Linked DNA regions of Canis lupus familiaris. The protein of the gene in region 1 binds, or shares a complex with, the protein of each later gene. Links are inferred from orthologs where the notes say so. Each region holds a gene or a part of one and is shown in the gene's direction. Other genes may lie near its edges. The genes, in order: XIAP, CASP7, CASP3, RIPK2 and TAB1.

Evidence for each region.
Region 2: the proteins of XIAP (region 1) and CASP7 are in contact, whole or in part, in a crystal structure (PDB 1I51), measured with the Homo sapiens proteins. The link is inferred for Canis lupus familiaris from reciprocal best matches to the Homo sapiens genes XIAP and CASP7. Residues at the interface, in NP_001158.2 of Homo sapiens: His136, Ala137, Leu140, Leu141, Gly144, Gln145, Val146, Val147, Asp148, Ile149, Ser150, Asp151; in NP_001218.1 of Homo sapiens: Tyr230, Trp232, Arg233, Ser234, Pro235, Gly236, Arg237, Trp240, Glu274, Ser275, Gln276, Asp279, His281, Phe282.
Region 3: the proteins of XIAP (region 1) and CASP3 are in contact, whole or in part, in a crystal structure (PDB 1I3O), measured with the Homo sapiens proteins. The link is inferred for Canis lupus familiaris from reciprocal best matches to the Homo sapiens genes XIAP and CASP3. Residues at the interface, in NP_001158.2 of Homo sapiens: Ala137, Leu140, Leu141, Gly144, Gln145, Val146, Val147, Asp148, Ile149, Ser150, Asp151, Thr152, Ile153, Tyr154, Asn226, Leu231, Gly232, Arg233, Asn234; in NP_001341706.1 of Homo sapiens: Tyr204, Trp206, Arg207, Asn208, Ser209, Lys210, Asp211, Trp214, Gln217, Lys242, Thr245, Glu246, Phe247, Glu248, Ser249, Phe250, Phe252, Thr255, Phe256.
Region 4: the proteins of XIAP (region 1) and RIPK2 are in contact, whole or in part, in a cryo-EM structure (PDB 8AZA), measured with the Homo sapiens proteins. The link is inferred for Canis lupus familiaris from reciprocal best matches to the Homo sapiens genes XIAP and RIPK2. Residues at the interface, in NP_001158.2 of Homo sapiens: Lys208, Asn209, Trp210, Glu211, Pro212, Cys213; in NP_003812.1 of Homo sapiens: His136, Asn137, Met138, Thr139, Pro141, Ile208, Asp278, Glu279, Arg280, Ser282, Lys285.
Region 5: the proteins of XIAP (region 1) and TAB1 are in contact, whole or in part, in a crystal structure (PDB 2POP), measured with the Homo sapiens proteins. The link is inferred for Canis lupus familiaris from reciprocal best matches to the Homo sapiens genes XIAP and TAB1. Residues at the interface, in NP_001158.2 of Homo sapiens: Phe33, Ala34, Ser38, Gly39, Pro41, Ser43, Ala44, Ser45, Thr46, Arg49, Tyr75, Ser78, Ala79, Val80, Gly81, Arg84, Phe92, Ile93, Gly95, Tyr97, Leu98; in NP_006107.1 of Homo sapiens: Glu99, Ala100, Arg103, Thr201, Gln202, Leu203, Glu212, Asp213, Phe216, Arg217, Gln220, Arg241, Glu269, Glu271, Ile272, His273, Ala275, Gln276, Pro277.

Annotation. Positions count from the first base shown.
Region 1 is NC_049260.1:96,092,475-96,096,624, forward strand, and holds the start of XIAP (E3 ubiquitin-protein ligase XIAP), read left to right. Parts: upstream 1-1,338; 5' UTR 1,339-1,346; coding exon 1,347-2,223; intron 2,224-3,288; coding exon 3,289-3,388; intron 3,389-4,150.
Region 2 is NC_049249.1:24,894,845-24,899,055, forward strand, and holds the start of CASP7 (caspase-7), read left to right. Parts: upstream 1-1,407; 5' UTR 1,408-1,551; intron 1,552-4,211. UniProt on the Homo sapiens protein: Thiol protease involved in different programmed cell death processes, such as apoptosis, pyroptosis or granzyme-mediated programmed cell death, by proteolytically cleaving target proteins.
Region 3 is NC_049237.1:46,865,715-46,868,121, forward strand, and holds part of CASP3 (caspase-3), read left to right. Parts: coding exon 1-62; intron 63-597; coding exon 598-773; intron 774-1,153; coding exon 1,154-1,274; intron 1,275-1,460; exon of another isoform or gene 1,461-2,320; intron 2,321-2,407. UniProt on the Homo sapiens protein: Thiol protease that acts as a major effector caspase involved in the execution phase of apoptosis. Following cleavage and activation by initiator caspases (CASP8, CASP9 and/or CASP10), mediates execution of apoptosis by catalyzing cleavage of many proteins.
Region 4 is NC_049250.1:35,924,796-35,928,937, forward strand, and holds the start of RIPK2 (receptor-interacting serine/threonine-protein kinase 2), read left to right. Parts: upstream 1-1,339; 5' UTR 1,340-1,393; coding exon 1,394-1,566; intron 1,567-4,142.
Region 5 is NC_049231.1:26,615,931-26,620,107, reverse strand, and holds the start of TAB1 (TGF-beta-activated kinase 1 and MAP3K7-binding protein 1), read left to right. Parts: upstream 1-1,377; 5' UTR 1,378-1,464; coding exon 1,465-1,497; intron 1,498-2,879; exon of another isoform or gene 2,880-2,945; intron 2,946-4,177. UniProt on the Homo sapiens protein: Key adapter protein that plays an essential role in JNK and NF-kappa-B activation and proinflammatory cytokines production in response to stimulation with TLRs and cytokines.

The DNA of each region.
Region 1 (4,150 bases):
GGAAACAATAATGAAAAGTCATGGAGACTATCTTCCAAAAATAGTTCTATGCAGATATATCTCTGCTCTTGCGGTATATATGAATTACTACCATTGTAAATTGACAAGACCAGGAAAGACTGAAGTTTATTGCCACCCTGCAAGACTTGTGTTGAACATTATTACACTGAAATGATGTTCCAAGACATATTGTGCTAACATAATGCCAGGGCTGCTAATTCTTCCCAAGAAATCAATTAATTGACATATGAAGTAGAGGCAGAATTATCATGACCATTCTTTTTCTTTTTTTTTTTTTTGCCAAACATATACTGAGCACACACAGTATTAGGAATAGTGCGAGATTCTAGAGAATCAGGTTTGCCTGGGGCAACCCTGATTTATCCCTGTTGTCCTAGTGTAATTATTAGTAGCATCATTTTTCACTTTCCAAAGTGTCCAGGTTTGGAGGATAAATTATCTGGCCACCCTTCTCATAACCCACCTAGTTCCTTTAGTATTTTATTTCGGTTATATGTTACACAGCTATAATGTGGCAATTTTAATGAGGCTGCAGTAGTACTTCTCTTCCATTTGAACAGATCATTTTTCGACCATGGGAAGTTGATAGCAAAACTTACTGCAATTAAGGTCTATACATACTTACTATCTTTCCTGAGCTACCCTCTAGAGGGCAGTAATATATACATCCGAAATGATCCAATTCCCACAGAAAATGGACTACAGGAGTCCCATTTTCATATGCATGAAAATCAGAAACACTCAAGTGCTCTTAAACACTCGATGCTCATATTGGAACCAGTGTTGTGAGTAAAACTCAAATACCTTTTGCTAAGCAGAAAAGTAAAGAAATAATAAAAATTAATTCATTAACATTCTGAACATTTTTTTTAAATTGAAAAACTGAACTTTGATGGCTTGAATATATAATGATCTATTATAACAATTATGCATAGAGTTTAATAATCTGCATAATTTATGCTTTTGTTTTTCCTAATTAATAATTTTACATGGTTAATAATTTTAATATATTCTGTATCACAGTTTCCATATTTACATAAAGTAATCAATTAAAGAACAGTTTTATTCTACCTGCTTGAATATTACTTTCCTCCAGAAAATGAAAATGCTGGTTTTTACTTTATAAAGCTTGAATCATATAATGCAGAGCTCTAGTATTTGGAATTAGAATGTTTTTTTTAGAGATTGTGTAATTAATTTTATGTCATCAGGTAATTTGTTAGCTCCTAATATCAAAATTATATTGCCTGTGTTTCAGATTTTGAATTTTCTAATGTAATGTTCTCTTTTCAGAAAAGGTGGACAAGTCCTATTTTCAAGAGAAGATGACTTTTAACAGTTTTGAAGGAGCTAAAACTTGTGTACCTGCAGGCATCAATAAGGATGAAGAATTTGTAGAAGAGTTTAATAGATTAAAAACTTTTGCTAATTTTCCAAGTAGCAGTCCTGTTTCAGCATCAACGTTAGCACGAGCTGGTTTTCTGTATACTGGTGAAGGAGATACTGTGCGGTGCTTTAGTTGTCATGCATCAATAGATAGATGGCAATATGGAGACTCAGCAGTTGGAAGACACAGGAAAGTATCCCCAAATTGCAGATTTATCAATGGCTTTTATTTTGAAAACACTGCTGCACAACCTACAAATCCAGGTATCCAAAATGGTCAATATAATGCAGAAAACTATCTGAGAAACAGAGATCATTTTGTTTTAGACAGACCATCTGAGACTCATGCAGATTATCTTTTGAGAACTGGACAGGTCGTAGATATATCAGACACCACATACCCGGAGAACCCTGCCATGTATAGTGAAGAAGCTAGATTAAACTCATTTCAGAACTGGCCAGACTATGTCCACTTGACCCCAAGAGAGTTAGCTAGTGCTGGATTCTACTACACAGGTATTGACGATCAAGTGCAGTGCTTTTGTTGTGGTGGAAAACTGAAAAATTGGGAACCGTGTGATAATGCATGGTCAGAACACAGGCGACACTTTCCTAATTGCTTCTTTGTTCTGGGCCGGAATGTTAATATTCGAAGTGAATCTGATGTTGCGAGTACTGATAGGAACGTCCCAAATTCAACAAGTATTCCAGAAAATCCAGCCATGGCAGATTATGAAGCACGGATCGTTACTTTTCGGATGTGGATGTGTTCAATTAACAAGGAGCAACTTGCAAGAGCTGGATTTTATTCTTTAGGTAAACTTTATTATAAAACCAGGCTAATAAATAACTTTCCAACTATCCCAGTCCCCCTAAAAAGTGGATTCCTTTAGCCCCCTGAACTGGTAAATAAAGGCTGGCATGATTAATCTGTGAACCTTTATGTTGAATTTGCAGTGTAACTACTACATTTATGTGAAAAAGGACTACTATATTGTGAGTTATATTTATCTTTGTTTTTTTGGAGAAGGATTACATGCAAAAGATGATAGATCTCCCAGATAGAAGAATGGGTCTGACAGTAATATAAACTATAATTTATTGAGCACCTACTGTATGTGCTCAGTACATGTATCACATGCATTCTTTCTATACCTCATAAAAAGAGTTAACATTAGAGAGTTTAGTTTGGCTGATATTAAAATTGATACCTGCCTTTTGTACATAGAGTTTATATTTGAAAGCTGCCCTGTATGCCTTTTTGCTTCAAATAAGCACTTCTCTTTTTTTTTTTTTTTTTTTTTTTTAAATAAGCACTTCTCAAATGGACTACTGTAAACTTGTCAGGAAGGGCCCTTAGTGTGATGACTTCCAGGAATATTCAGAAAAGTTATACCATCATATATCTGACTCATTAGCTTTAGGATTGAGTAGTGCCAAAATACAAAATATTAGTTATTTCAATATTTTATTCACATAGTATCCTGTAGCAATTTTGAAGGTTTGTTTAGTGTCATGTAGCTATAACCCTAGAGAAACTTACTTTGTAATTTTGTTAACCTGAGCCTTATTGTTAAAGTTTCACAGTTTGAAAAAGTGTAGTATTGGTAGACCCAAATGATAACAATTTTAATTTTTCACATAAAAATTGGTCAATTTATTTTGTCTTCTGTAAAATACCTCAAATTGAATCAGTGAATTTAGTGTGTATTCCCTCCTCAAACAGTCATGGCTGTTATTTAAATGTGAATTTGAATGTCGTCTTTGAAGCTGAGATTCTCATGTAATTTAAAATGGTTAATTTCATGGTGTTAAAGGGGCATTTTTGCATAGGCTTCTAATTGCACAAATACATGTATTTTTACTTGTGTCTCTTCTTAGGGGATGGTGATAAAGTAAAATGCTTTCACTGTGGAGGAGGACTAACTGATTGGAAGCCCAGTGAAGACCCTTGGGAACAACATGCTAAGTGGTTTCCAGGGTAAGGTATTTAAATGTTTATTTAGGAACAGGCAAGTTAGACACTTTGCAGTCAGGAAAATCTTGAATAACTTTTCACCTAACTATTTTTGCCTTCACTATGGCTTGCAATTCACACCAAGTTTATAAAAATGGGGTCACCTACTTTATAGAAAAAAAAAGGCCCTAAGCCTTCTCTGGTGACCAAAGCATTCATTGCTTATATGTTATATATATGACATTCAAATTATTCTATTTCTAAACACTAATTAGGAATATATAGTTTTGTTGTTAGAAGTAGGCTCTTTCACAATGACCACGGGAGAGCCCTTGTTGCCAAGGATTTTTTCCTTGGAACCCATCACATCCCCTAGCAAATTTTACTGTATCTCTCTGATTATAAGACACACAATTGTTCACATTTTCAAATTTTTGAAATGATACATCTGGTGGTGGGTCATAATTTAATTGGCAGCGGTGGTACATAAAATAATCATCCTTCTTATAATCAGTGGCATCTTAGAATGATAATAACATACTCTGTCTCTTTGTCATCTTGTTTCTTTAAAAATATTCATACATATAAGTGATGTAAAATTTTTGACCTACAAACTAGTACAATTTAAAACTTCAGAGCGATTGTTTGAAAATAAATCTTAAGCTTAAAAAGCCTTAAAAGGAAAGGTTGAAAGCCTAAGGAGTTCCTTCAGAGTGTGTAGTTGGTTAATCCTCTAAACAAAATTAAACTATTTAAAAAATTAAATCTTAAATTTAATAACTTGGT
Region 2 (4,211 bases), on another chromosome or scaffold:
TCCCACATCGGGCTCCCTGCATGGAGCCTGCTTCTCCCTCTGCCTGTGTCTCTGCCTCTCTCTCTATGTCTATCATGAATAAATAAACAAAATCTTTTTTTTTTAAAAAGTGTCCTTTCTTCTCAGAGCCTCAACGCGTCATTAGTTAATTAGTTGCTGTCCCAGAGGCGTCTTGGAGAGAAAGGCATTGCAGGCGCCGGCTTCGGCCCAAGGGTGAAGAAAGGCAGAGTGCGGGGCTGTGGGAGCAGCAGCCGGGCGGGGGGCGGGACCAGGGGCGTGCAGGCCCCGCCCGCGGTGGGCCGGGTCACGGCCCCATGCCCAGTGGCCGGCACTTGGGGGCGCTCACTACTCTGGAGGGACCTCCGGCAAGTTCGCCGCGCTGCGAGGCGGGAGCTCGCCACCCGAGAGCGGAGTTCGAGTCCTGCCGCCCCCGCGAGTGGACACCGCACGCCCACCGGCGGCTCCAGGCCGGCCCCGGAGACGGGGACTCCAGTGCTGCGGGCGCCGAGCACCCCCTTCCCAGGGTCGGGGGCCCGGCGGGGGAAACGCCGTCTGGCTGTGGGAACGGGGTCCCCGCGGCGGGTGCGGAGGCCCGAGTGGGGGTGCGGACGGGGGCCGCAGCGGGAGGGGAGGAGGCGGGGAGCCCGGCGGGCGCCCGGTCCTCGAGCGCCGCCGAGTCCGCGGGGCGCGCTCTTCGGCGCGCGGCCGGTGTGCAGAGCGCGCCCCCGGGTCGCTGCGGGCGCCGCCGCGGGCTCAGCAGGTGCAGGTGCTCTCCCGGGGCTGCGGGAGAACTCTCCCAACTCTCCGAGGGCGCCGTCCGGGGGCGCGGCCAACTGCGCCCGGGCGCCTGCCACGTCCCCGGCCACGCGCGCGGCCCGCCGCGTTCTGCAGGGCGCGGGCGCGCGTGGGGGCGGGCCTCGGGGCGCGCGAGACACCTCGGGGAGAGCGCGGCCGCGGGAGCGGGAGGAGGTGCCCCGGCCCCGCCCCCGGCCACGCCCCCGGCCACGCCCCCGGCCCCGGCTCCGTCCCGCCCGGAGGACTGGCCGCGCGACTCCGCCCCCGGGCCCCGGCCCCGCCCCCAGGCCCCGGCCCCGCCCCCAGGCCCCGGCCCCGCCCCCAGGCCCCGCCCCCGGCTCCGCCCCAGACCCCGACCCCGACCCGCCCGGGGGACTGGCCCGCGCGACTCCGCCCCCCGGGCCCCGCCCCCGGCCCAGGCCCCGCCCCCCGGCCCCGCCCCCGGCCCCGGCTCCGTCCCGCCCGGAGGACTGGCCCGCACGACTCCGCTCCCGGGCCCCGGCCCCGCCCCCAGCCCCGCCCCCGGGCCCCGCCTCAAGCCCCGCCCCCGCCTCCAGCCCCGCCCCTTCCCAGGCCCCGCCCCGACCCCGGCTCCGCCCCCGACCCCGCCCCGCCCCGGGGACTGGCCCGCGCGACTCCGCCCTCGGCCGCCCGGGCTTTCACTTTCGCTTTCTTGCGGGCGGCCCCAGACCCTATCCGCGGAGGGACCGAGACGGACGCCAGCCCCGCCGCCCGCCGCCCGCCGCTGCGGACACGGTAACCTCGCGGCCCCCCTCGCGCCGAGTCCGGGGAGAGGGCCCGGCCCAGCTCGCTCCGCTCCGCCCAGCCCAGCCCAGCCCAGCCCAGCCCAGCCCAGCCCAGCCGGCCCTCGGTTCCCTGCTGGCCGCGGGCCGGGACAGCCCTGCAGCTCGGCTTTTGGGAAAGGGGGCGTGGAGGGAGCCGGGAGGGAGGGGGTGGCGGTCTCGCCCGGCTGACCGCGAGCGCCCCGCTGTCGGACCACCCTGGGCGCTGGTCCCCGCGCCGCTCTAAGTCAGCCGCGGGCCTCGCTGTGCCCGTCTGTCAAATGGGAACGGTGCTGATCGCGGCCTGGGGGGCGCCGGGAGGATGGAAGTTGGTCACCGGTGCATATAGCAGGAGGGCCTGGGTCAGGGCTCAGTGTGCAGGAGCTGCTGACCTCCTGCCTGGGGCCGCTGGTGCAGGGCCCTTGAAGATCTCTTGAGGAGGTGAAAAAAACAGGACCACAGTCGACCTTGCAACCTTTCACCGTGTGTTCAAGTTTATCGTAACGGAGCAGTAAAATTACCTGTGGGTTACTCTGTGTGGGCCATGCTCAGGCTCTTCCCTTGAACTCTTGCTCTGGTGGACTGTGTGGCCCTGTCCTTTATTTACTTACAGCCTATTTCCTCCTTCAGGGGCTGCTGACCTTCAGCCCCTATGAACAGCCCTCACCTGGGTTCATAATCCACCTCTGCTTCCTGTTAGTTGTGTGGCCTTGGGCAGGTTACTTAAACTCTCTGAAGAAACCCAGGTTTCTTCTGCAATGGGCAGGGGCTCCAGCCTCCTAGCAGTGCTGCGAGCCTCTGGTGACAGGGGTACCCAAGTACCAGGGGCGCCTTCTCCAAGTGCCAAAGGTGAAAGGTCCTCAGGGCTGCTTCTCTTTGAGCCTTTTAGGGAGATTGTCTTCACTGGGGCAAGAGTGGGGGCAAGTTGCGTTATGCCACTTTTCAGAGGAAGTAGATGCAATGAGTCCTCCCACTCATGGAAAAAAAGTTCAGGATATAGCCAGAAGTGATTTCCTACCAGATATGTACCAGTCGCCTATTAAAACATGTTTAGGAACAATCACCAGAGAAATATTTTTTCATTCTCTGTAAAAGCTGCTTAAAATATCCGTGAAGGTTGGCAGTTGAATGTGTTCTTGGTCTTGAGTTCTGCTGACAGTGGCGATAATAAGGAATGTTTATTGAACATCTAGAATGTGCTATACTGTACTTAGTACTTTACATGCGTTTTTCCATTCATCTCACAGCCTGTGACTTAGGCATCATTATCTTCCCAATTCACAGATGAGGAAGCTGAGGCTCAAAGAAATTGAGCCCCTTTGTTCAAGGTCCCATGGCTAGTAGATGGAGGAGCCAGTTTAATCCCTGATCTGCTCTTCCCATGACTGGGCTCTCAACTTGGTTGTGTTCTCTGTCCTGTGTCAATAATTTATTCAGACACTGAATGATTTAAACATTTTAAGTATATTTTAATTAAAACATTTATTAAAAAAATATTTATCGGGACAGCTGGGTGACTCAGTCAGTTAAGCATTCAACTCTTGATTTCAGCTCGGGTCATGATCTCAGGATCCAGCCGCTGCATCAGGCACGGCACTGGGCATGGAGCCTGCTTAAGATCTGTCTCTCTGCTCTCCCTTTGCCAATTCCCCCCATCCTTCTCTTAAAAGAAAAAAAAAGAAAGATTTATTTATATTTTTTTAAGATTTTATTTATTTATTCATGAGAGAGACAGAGAGAGAGAGAGAGAGGCAGAGAGGGAAGCAGGCTCCATGCAGGGACCCTGACGTGGAACTCGATCCCGGGTCTCCAGGATCATGCCCTGGGCTGCAGGCGGCGCTAAACCGCTGAGCCACCAGGGCTGCCCAAAAGAAAGATTTATTGAGTGTCCACTATGTTCTGTCCAGAACTTTTCTATAACTGAAACAAAAAAGGGTAATTAAGATACACTCTAGTTGAGATACACTCTCTGTTCGCAAAGAGTTCGAATCTTACTGGATACTAATGACAATAAGGATGACAAGAGCTAACCGGGAGTGCTTACGTGGAGCTCCTGGCAGTGCTAGTGCTTTATGTGCATCACGTACTGATTCATTTAGAGAGAAGATCGACACGTGTAATTGAAGACAGATGCGCTGTTGGATGAGCAGGAGCACTTGTGTGCTGACTGTTCTTTATGGCCTGAACCCTAAAAGAGGATGAACACTGGAAAACAACACTAGGCCTGCCCCATCTAGGCACAGCAGAGCTGAGATAGATAGATTTTCCTGGTGGGCTCTGAGTATGAGTGGAAATACAGGGTCAACACCACATCTTGGCTTGGCTGAAATGATGTGGCCGACATCAGGCACCCTGCTGGGTCAGCACCCTTGTTCTGGGTGAACTTGATTTTCCCCAGAAATCAAGCCTGGCCTCATGGGAGTAAGAAAGTCACTGAATGTTTGCTGTCACCCTACACAGTGCTCAGCATCAATCCAGAAAGAAGCTGTAGGTTTCAGACGGAAGACCCTTCTTGCCTAGTGTTTGGGGGGAAAGCTCATGGAAAGCCTCCCACACTGAACCATAGAAGTGAGACTGAATTTTATGTCTTGGTAGCCAAGTCCAAAGTCCCCTCCATGTGGCTGGGAAGGACAA
Region 3 (2,407 bases), on another chromosome or scaffold:
ATATGAAGTCAGAAATAAAAATGATCTCACATGCGAAGAAATTTTGGAATTAATGAACAGTGGTAAGAAATAATTAAAAGAGTGACCTACCTTCATTGTCTAATTTTATATTACAGTGTAGCTGTAATTATAAAGAACTGTGGTACCATACTCTACATAATTCTACATTTTATATATGTAAAATAAAAGTTATTCGTGTCACCTCCCTAAAGTGATTTTTTTTTTAATTTTATTTATTTATTCATGAGAGACAGACAGAGAGAGAGAGAGAGGCACAGACACAGGGAGAAGCAGGCTCCATTCCATGCAGGTAGCCCAACGTGGGACACGATCCCAGGTCTCCAGGACCACACCCAGGACCGAAGGTGGCGCTGAGCCACCCGGGCTGCCCTTTTTTTTTTTTTTTTTTTTTTTTTTAATTTCCTAAAGTGATTTTGAGGTATATTGACCTGCCCCAACTTGGGTTGCAGTGATGTCTCAGTTCTGTCCTCAAGTTTCTTCACCTTACTCCTGTACAGTTTAATTGGAGATTGATTGGTAAATGAAGCTGTGTTGGTTTTTTTTGTTTATTTTCCTTACTTGTAAACATTTTTCCAGTCTCTAAAGAAGATCATAGCAAAAGGAGCAGTTTTGTTTGCGTGCTTCTAAGCCATGGGGATGAAGGAATAATTTTTGGAACAAATGGACCTGTTGACCTGAGAAAAGTAACAGGTTTCTTCCGAGGAGATTACTGTAGAAGTCTGACTGGAAAACCCAAACTTTTCATTATTCAGGTAATCTATGACTAAACAACTAGAATTAATTACTGAGAATTAATTGGGGATTAATTTGCTCATTTGTGGATTAACCAATGGATTTATTTTTTCCACTGAAGCTACTGAACTACTGTGACTTTTTTATTCATTTAAACTATCACTCATTAGATATAGAATAAATGTTCATGCTAGACTTGGATCAAAAAGACTCTTCATAGTTAACCTCCATTTTTACACAGCCTTGATATTTTTTAAGTAAGCTCCGTGCCCAGTGTGGAGCCCAGCATGGGGTTTGAACTCATGACCCTGAGATCAAGGCCTAAGCTGAGATCAAGAGTCAGACGCTTATCCCACTGAGCTACCCACATACCCCTAAACACTTATCTTTTAACCTCTAGGCCTGCCGAGGTACAGAACTAGACTGTGGTATTGAGACTGACAGTGGAATTGAGGATGACATGGCCTGTCAGAAAATACCAGTCGAAGCGGACTTCTTGTATGCTTACTCTACAGCCCCTGGTAAGACAGTTACAAATAATGAACATTACATGGAGATTTTAAACACAAAACCAGTGTTCCAAAGGCTATCACGATTTTGATATTCATGAACAGCTAACTGATCCGTATTTCGTTACCTTAGCTACAGAGAAGCATCAGGAAGTTGTCTTTAGCAACTGTCTGGCTGTAAAATGTGCATTTATAAGAAAGCTTACTTCCACTGTGTCATTCAGGAACTTAATGCCAGATAGGAGACTATATTGTTAATATAGAATAATGTATTGTAATTTTGTAACATGGTGTACAATATGTGCCTTCTTGTCATGTCTGGTATTTGGCAGAGCTTGTCCACTTCTTAGAATAGGAGATTAGTACATTTTCCAGGAATCCTTTGGAAGATAGGAAATAATAATAAAAATAAACCTGAATAGCATGTAGGAGGGCAAAGTGTCATGAGGGAAAAGAACCAGGTCATTCTATGTTTTTATGTCCTCAGATCAATAAATATTGATTGCTCTTGCAATTTATTTATTATATAGCTGACTCAGGGTTTCACAAAGTTTGCAAATAGAGGACAAATAAATGTGAGGTTAAACAATGTTACATTTTAAAATATGCTCAATAGGATTTCTTTTGAACCTCAAGACATTTTTCCAGGTAAAGTACTTCTAAATTAGAAGCAATAAATCTGATAGTTAATCTGAAAATTAGTACAATAAATACATTGCTTTCCCCTTTTTGGAGTTTTTGAATACTCTTTGATGTCTCTATCATATTTTTCAGATGCCTTGTAGACAAATTTAGGACACCCAAATGTCTGTGCATATGTAAGCGATATATTTCTTGAATAAACCATGATCTGACTACAACACCATGCTACTTAACAGTGGTGCTTCTTATCCGTTGGCCTCTGATCTTTTGCATGTTTCCCTTCCTCCCTGTGAGAAGGGAAACCGAAAAAGAGAGCTCACCATCCTTCAGCAGGGAAGGTAGTCCACAACTTTTTTCCTTGCCTAAAGCAGAGGTGTATGCACAGCACACTTTCCCCTCGTCCAGCATCGTCTCCCCTGAAATGAGAGGTGGTGGTTATTTTCTTTTTATGGCTAGTAATGCTGGTGGACGTTTGTTTGTTTTTACCTTAATGATTGTGTATT
Region 4 (4,142 bases), on another chromosome or scaffold:
AAAAAAAAAAAAAAAGGAAAGATGTTTGGTTGTTTTAGGGTGGACATTAAAAATGAGCTGCATTAAAAAAAAAAAAAAAAAAAGAGCTGCATTCTTCCCAGTTCTCCGGGACTGAGAAGGGAATTTTCGCAGGTCTTACCTGGAGCCAGAGGGACTGACTTCCCAAAGCCACTTTTTCCACCTCCATAGAGTTACGGACGAAAGAGAGAAGAAAAAGACAGAGAAAGATAGAAAAGTAGGTCCCTAGGAGAGGAGCACCCGAGCCGAGCCCGGCGCCCAGGTGCGGCGTCCAGGTGGGCAGGAGACCTGAGCCCCCGCCCCGCCCCCTCCCCGCCCCCGCCCCGCCCACTCCCCGCGCAGGCGCACAGGCGGCAGCCGCGCCCCGCCCCCCGCCCCCCGCCCCCCACGGCCCGGGGTCCCGCGCGCTCCGTCCCCGCGGGGAGGCCCCGTTGGCCCTTCGGCCCGCGAGCTGCGGGCTGCGGGCTGCGAGGAACCTTCGTCGGGCGGAGGCAGGACGGACCAGCGGCCCCCGCCCCGCCCCGCCCGCAGGTGTCGCCCCGAGCCGTGGGCGCCCCCCCCCCGTGACGCAGACGTCCCCCTCCCCCCCCTCCCCCCCGCCCGGGGCCCGCCGTGACGTCACGGGGGCAGCTCGGGGAGGGAGGGGCTCGCGGAGGGAGGGGCGCCGCCTCCACGCGCAGGCGCCGCAGAGGGGCCGGCGGCCCCGGGAAGAGGAGTCCGCTCGCGCTGCGGGACAGCGGCGGCGGCTGGCGTGCGCCGCGCGGGCATGGGCTGCCCGGGCACCTAGTGCCCCGCCGCGGGAAGGGCCCGGCCGCCCCGGCTCCGGCTCCGGCTCCGGCTCCGGCTGCCATCGGGCTCCCGCTCCCGCTCCGCCTCCCGTTCCCGTCCGGCTCTCGCTCCGCTCCAGCCCCGGCTCTCGCTCCAGCCCCCTCCCCAGCTCCCGCTCCGCCTCCCCAGCTCCCGCCCCGGCTCCCGCTCCAGCCCCGGCTCCAGCTCCGGCTCCCGCTCCAGCTCCAGCCCCCCTCTCCGGCTCCCACTCCAGCTCCCGCCTCCTCCCCCTTTCTCGCTCCCCTCCCCAGCTCCAGCTCCAGCTCCAGCTCCAGCTCCAGCTCCAGCTCCCGCTCCCATCCCCGGCTCCCGCTCCTATCCCCAGCTCCAGCCCCGGCTCCCGGCCCCAGCTCCCGCTGCAGCCTCCGGCTCCCGCTCCCATCCCCAGCTCCAGCCCCGGCTCCGGCCCCCGGCTCCCGCCCCCAGCTCCCGCTGCAGCCTCCGGCCCCAGCTCCCGGCCCCGGCCCCCCGCCCGAGCGCGGCGCCCCCGAGCCTCTCCGGAAGCCTCCGCCGCGGCGGGCACACCCGAGCGGCCGCGCCCGCGACCATGAGCCGGGAGGGCCCCCGCAGCGCCCTGCCCACCATCCCCTGCCGCAAGCTCGCCGACCTGCGCTACCTGAGCCGCGGCGCGTCGGGCACCGTGTCGTCCGCCCGCCACGCGGACTGGCGCGTGCAGGTGGCCGTGAAGCAGCTGCACATCCACAGCCCGCTGCGCGACAGGTAGGGCGCCCCGCGGAGCCCCGGGCGAGCCAGCTCTGCGGCCCCGCCGCCTCCAGGCAGCCCTCCGGGGCTCGGGCCTTGCGCGGGGGCGGGGGCGGGGGGGGGCACCGGCTTCCCTGGAGATGCTTGCGTCGCCTTCCTCTGCCCGCTCCGCTGCCCTCTGCGTCTCCTCCTCCTTCCCTCCCAGTCCTGGGCTCCCTCCCTCCAGACGCCAAAAGCCGGGGTGCTTCGGTGTGGGGCTGCGGTGGGCTTGGCTTGGTTTGTGGTTTATTACGTAGGGTCCTGAAAGTTTAGGTTCCACGCTCCACTCGCTTCAGTTCCTCTCTCACTCGGTCAGGGAGGCCTTGGTCCCCCCAGAGGTCGTGTGGGTATTAGTTTGCGAACAATACGCTGAATCGCGTTGTTCCAGGAGTTCTGAACGCCACTCGCATCCTGGAACAATTTCCGTGCACCGGCTAGGTTGTCAGGGAAAGCCAGCAGTTTCTGCTTCCAGAGAAGCATCTCAATCCTATACCATTGCCCTGTGATCCAACCTATTGGTCAGTGGGTCTAGGCATTAGTCTTGCGTGTTTTCCTTCCTAGAGTCATTGGTCTTGCATATTTTCCTTCCACTCCACCAGGCCCTGCATTCAGTCCTTAGTGAGTTAACATCCATGATTGCAACATCCTCCTCTCCCCCCCCCCCCCCCCCCCCCCCCGTACCTAATATCCCAATTCATCACGCCGGGTGTCTGATTGGTCAGGGGCCATTAGTATCCAATGGCAGATAAATTCCTCAGCTTCAGCCCTGTGAATTTATGGGGCTTTCATCAGCCTGTAGCTTTTCTTTGCTTTCTTGCTATCAGGCTGGGATGGGTGAGATCTCACAGTAAATTTGAGACACCTCTAGAAATTGTTCCCACTCTTTATATGATCACAATCCAGGTCTCGTGTTAGATAAGATGTGGTGTCTGTTTCGCCTGGGCCTTGAGTTCTGTGGGGCAAGTGCTGGGCAAAGGTGGGTACATGTACGTAGTCAAGTTTGAAGGGTGGTGATTGGTTAGAAAGGGTGATCGTATTTTAGAATCAGCTATGAAAATCTATGGGTAACTAACCCTGATGGACCCGTTACGTATTCTACAGCAAATTCATCTGGCCATCTTGGAAGCTGCTCCTCAAGAGTTCAGTGTATCCCAGTTGTGTGCTATTTGAAGATCAAAGGAATGAAGAGGGGGTTCCCTTTTCTATTCTTAGCAACAATTTTCATAACCTGAAACTCTTCAGTAAATTAGTAGGGAATTCTGTGGTCAAAGAGGCCGTAAGGACCAGTTAAATCCTTTGGCATTATTGCATCAGGTTCTTTCCCCTACCTGTTACCTAAGATCTTAGCATTCACAGTATTTATGCAATCTGAGCAGTGGACTGAGCTATGCAGTTGACTCACAGGGTGTCCATTTACTCACTTATAAAGTGGGAATAATAATTGTATGTACTTTGGCTCCGGTGTGGAAAATGTTTGCATTGTTCAGAAAGAGAGAGAAAGGAAGGAAAGAAAAGAAAAGAAAGGGAAAAGAAAAAAAGAAGGAAGGAAGGAAAAGAAAAACAAGTTTATGTGCAGTCATGTGTTCTTATTTTAGTGACTTCTGCCCAATGAGTGGGCCTTCCCCTACCATCTCCTGACTCTTTCTGTGTAGATGAGTCTGATCAGTTGTTCAAACACCCTGTGACTGAAATTTTGATTTGGGTAATTTTGGTGATATGCCTCTAAAAAGCTGTGTCTTACATTTTTTTTTTTTTTTTTTTTTAGAAATATAAAAACCTGTCTTAGACCTATTTATTTTTGGCTTTTTCTGTTTTGCCTCTCACTCAGTCTTCCCGAAATCTGACTTCAAGAACTTCCCTTGATCCTTTCCTTCCTCCCATCAAGCAGTGGAATGGAAAGAACACAGGCTTTGAGTCCCACAACTGCAATTCAAACCTGATTGCAACCCTGCCATTTAATGTTGGCCTTATAGAGAAGGCCTTTCTAACTAACGTATCTGAGCCTCAGTGCCCTCATTTCAAGGGGTGATAAGGTAACCAGCTTTAGAAGGTTGGTGTTTGGGTGCTAGTGCATATAAAGTGGCTGACGCATAATAGGATCACAATAGAAGGAAGAATGCCTGATACTCTTAATGTGAGAAAGAACAGGTATATAAGTATCACTGAGACTTCGCCAGCATGCTCTCTCTATAGTGTTTTTTTTTTTCCAGTATACCTAGAAATTTTCAAATCCGTTCTCTGTCTCCAGTATGCTGAACAGTAAGATGTAGCTCTTGTTGACTTCCATCTTTTGAGGCAATCACAGAACTCCTTAAATTTAGAGAAGATGAGTTTAATCAAGACAGGTCTCATAAACATATCACTGGTTGCCTCACAGTTGGGGTGTTAAGTGGCTGAAGAAAGGGAGAAGGAAAAAGCTTTTTACTTTAGGACCTCTTGTAACTCTTGAATTTTCAAACGTATAAATATATTATCTATTCAGAGCGTACCCGACTTAAGATTTTTCGCTTTATTTTGCTTTTCGTTTGCTTTTAAAGCAAGCCTCCTGGTCTGGT
Region 5 (4,177 bases), on another chromosome or scaffold:
GATGGCTAAACCTAATGGAGTTTCTTCAGTAATCTAACTAGAGCTCTCAAAAGTATGTTACATTTTGCCCACGCCCTCCTCCCCCTGGGTTCTATGTAGCCTCTGCTTCCCCTGCCTCTCCAGGCCTTGCTCCTGCTCCTTCACTGTTGTCTTCTCTAGTCCTCTCCATTTCAGGATTGACTTCTTTTCCTACATGTCTTAAAAGCACCTAAACTCAACACGTCCAAACCGAACTCAAGGCCATTCATTCCCTTCTCCCACTCCCCAGGATTTTCTAGCTGTTCTTTCCAGAAATCTGGGGGGAATCTCTGACAAACCTCTTCCCATCATCAACCCCAACCAATCCATGAATCAAGCCCTAACAATTTCATCTTCTACATAAAATCCATCCACTTGGCAGTGGCAGCTGACTCAAACCACTATCATCTCTTATCTCTTGCCTTGAGCAGACACAACGGTCCCTTAATTGGTCTTCACTTCAATACTCCTAAACATCTGTTTTGTCCAAAGTAGTCAAAGGGATCTTTCTACCAATGGGATCATGTCCCTGGCTTGCTCAGAAGTCAACAAGTTTCCTTTGTCCTCCGCATGAATAGCTCAACTCCCAGTCTTGGGCAGGCAAGGTCAGCCTTCGTCTCATTCAACCTTTCATCTGTGTTCCAGCCACAGAGACCTTCTGTGACATGCATGCGTCTTGAACGCACACTCACACGCTCCCTTTTCTCGTGCCTCGTGCACTAGCTGTCTGCCCTCCATCCCATGCCACATCCATAAACTTTTCTTCCTAGCATTTAGCCCACCTCGAAAATGATTTATGTACGTAAACGGTGTCCTCCCCAATGAAAACAGTAGCTTTCGGAGAGTGTCTTTCCTGCAGCTTCATCCCTATAGGGCCAGGCATGGCCACCTAATGAATATTGATGGAGTAAATGAATAATTCACCGGGCCCCAAACCCTAAGTGTCCATAAAGAACCCAAATCCTAGGAATCCCGGGTGGATCAGAGGTTTAATGCCTGCCTTCAGGCCAGGCGTGATCCTGGAGACCCGGGATCGAGTCCCACACCGGGTTCCCTGCATGGAGCCTGCTTCTCCCTCTGCCACACACAGTCTCTGCCTCTCTTTCTCTCTGTGTCTCTCATGAATAAATAAATAAAATCTTAAAAAAAAAAAACAAAAAACAAATCCGGTGTCTGAAAAGCATCCTGGAGAAAATGCGCAAATAAAATGGGCGAGAGGCAACCACTTAGGCAAGCCCTCCCTCTTCCCTCTTCCTCCGGGAGAGAAAGGGCAGAAGACGGCGCCTGCGCACACTCCCCGACCGCCCCATCCCCCTTCGGCCGCGCGGTGGCGCTGCGCGCGCGCTCCCGGCGGCGCGATCCTCCCGGCCGGCTTCAGGCCGCTCTAGCCGCCCTTCTCGCCTGCTCTGCTGGGAGGCGGGCGCAGCCGCGGGGGGTCCCTCCAAGATGGCGGCGCAGAGGAGGAGCCTGCTGCAGAGTGTGAGGAACCGAGCGGCTCCCCGGGCTGGGGGTTGGGAGCCCGAGGGGGCCCTGTCGGGTGCAGGCGCCGCTCCCTTCGGCCTGGCGAGGGGTGGCCGCCGCCCTCCCCTCTCCCGGGCCGGCCCCCCCTCACCTCCGAGGCCGGGGAGCGCGTGCAGCCGCGCGAGGCCCGCGCGTGCGCGCTGCCGCCGGCCGTCGGGGGCTGGGACTCGCGGTGCTGCGACCCCGAGCGTCGAGGGCGCGTGGAGGGCGGGGAGCGCCGTGCGCGCGGCGGCGGGGTGCCGGGCGGGGAGGCTAACCTCCCGGGTTTCCTGCCAGTTGCTTTACGTTGTAAGCTTAATTTATGTAACAGCCCCGGGAGGTTCCCGTTTGACGGGTGAGGAAACTGAGGCACAGAGGCGCAGTCCCTTGCCCAAGGCCGCGCAGCCAGTAAGTGGCAGTGACCCGAGTGGCAGCGGGTTCTGGTCCCGGCTTGGACGCACTATGCCTCAGTTTCCTTCCCTGTCACTGAGACTCCTCCCCCCCCCCCGTCCGGACCCTCGCGGGTCTGCAGCCGCTGCGTCCTCCTCAGGTGCCCAGGGATGCACACACACCTGGGCGCCCGGCGCCTGCACTGCCCTGCGCGCGGGGGTGCAGCTTCCCTGGACCCTCCCCAGGTGGGGGCCGGCTGTTGCGCCTGCCTGTGGACCGGTGCCTACGAGGAGTTCCAGCAGCACTTATCACAGGGTGCCAGGCACTCAGTAAATAATTGTAGAAAAGCCTTCGCAGCCATGTCCAGTGCCTGGCCGTGGCCTCACAGAGGTGCAGCAGACATTGGCCCTCCTGCCCTTGAGGGTCTTAATTAAGGCATCAGAGTCGGAGGGAGGGGTGACCTGCAGTTCTGCACACTAGTGACAGGCTTCGTGTAGGCTGTCTTTGAAATTGGTCTCCCGGTGAGGATTGCTCCCCTCCTCTGTTAGCCGCCCCTTTATTGGGCTGGTGCTCTGCCTGTCACCTCGTCATGGAGTTAGATAGTCCTGGTCCTCTGCTTTGTAAGCTTCCAGAGGGCAGAGCCTCTGCCAATTTCCCATTGTGAAAATCCCAGGAATACAAGCAGGACTGTAGTGAATGCTGGAAGTGGGAACTACTGTGGGGCGGCTTGGCTTGGTGAGGAGAGTGACTTCCAGCTCCTTCTCTTCTGGGTGTGATGGGGCCCAGAAGACTCAGGTTAGACAGAAGCTTTGCTAGTGCCAGCTCGTGTTCCTGGGTAGAAGTGGAAACTTTTAAAGACAGGATAATTAGCTTTAAGCGCATAGTATCGTGCTGAAGGGTAAGAGGATGGTAGCAGTGTCCACATGAGGCCCCTCTCACCCTAATGATGATCAAGCTATCTCTGCTCACAGGGTGTCTGAGTGTCCAGCAGTGTGTGATTGTCCAGGCTCGCTGACCTCTCCACTGGCCTGAGTCTGGTAAGGGCAGCTCAGATAACATCATTGAACAGAGGGCTGTAAGGGCTACTAGGCTGTGGTTGCAGGGCCTGGGGACACAAAGATAGGTAAAGTGTGTGCGCACCCTCAGTGCGTTTGCAGCATAGGAGGAGGAGCCACCTACCACTAACATAAGGAGGAAGGCACTGGGTTGTCAGTGTTGAGGGGCTGTGGGTGGCCTGATTTGACTGGGTCAGTGGAGGCTTGCAGGGAGGCCTGGGGATTTGCTGCCAACATGGTGCTGGGAGGGTGTGCTGGGGCCAGATGGCAGAGCATTGAGGAGTTTCACCTTTGGTCCCCAGCCAGCATGGTACCTTAAAAGTCTTTTTTTTTTTTTTTTTTGGTACCTTAAAAGTCTTGAAGAAAAGAAGAGCTTTTGAAGATAGCTTGATGTGTCCAAAGGAACTTGGGCCCTTCACAACCTAACAAAAGTACAAGTCTCATATGGACTGGGGCAAGCCACTTAACATCCCTGAACTTTGGTTCCCAAGAGAAAGGACTCCCAGGAGCATTATTAGGATTCACTGAACTAACACATTACAGTCCTGGCCTCACATGGTCACAGACCAGCATGAAGTTTCACCTTTGGTTCTGAGCACTTACCATGTGGCAGGCACAGTGTAGGTACAGGGGACACTTTTCCTCATGAAGCCTCTGTTCTAATGAGGGAGACAGTAACGATGAGTAAATACAGATTCTAAACAACACAATATCTGTAGCATCAGGTGTTGTGAGAATAGTCTGGATTCAGAGAATGGTGGGGGGAGCCTTTTAGAGTGATAGGGGAAGACCCTTCAACATTTGATGGGATGAAGTAGGGGATTTGGGAGGGGGTATTCCTGCTTGAAGGAATAGGGCTGCAAAGGCGTATGTGTTTGGGGAGTGCCAAGGAGGCCAGCGTGGCTGGAGTACGTGGTGGGGTGCGGTGGTAGCCAAGGTCCCAGGGACCTTACAGACACTGTGGACTTTGGATTCTATTCTAAGTGTGTTGTGAAACTGGGTGCTTTTTAGGAGGGCTGTATTTTGGAGGAAGAGCTGTTAGGATTTGCTGGTGGATCAGATGTGGGGGGGCCTGACAGGGGAAGAAGATTCTAGAAGCACTGCAGGGCTTCAGTGCTCTTTACTGGGATAGGGAACCCTGGAAGAGGAGCACATTTGAGGCTGGGAGAATCAAGAGTTTGGTTTTGCCTGTGCTACTCTGTACTTAATTATAA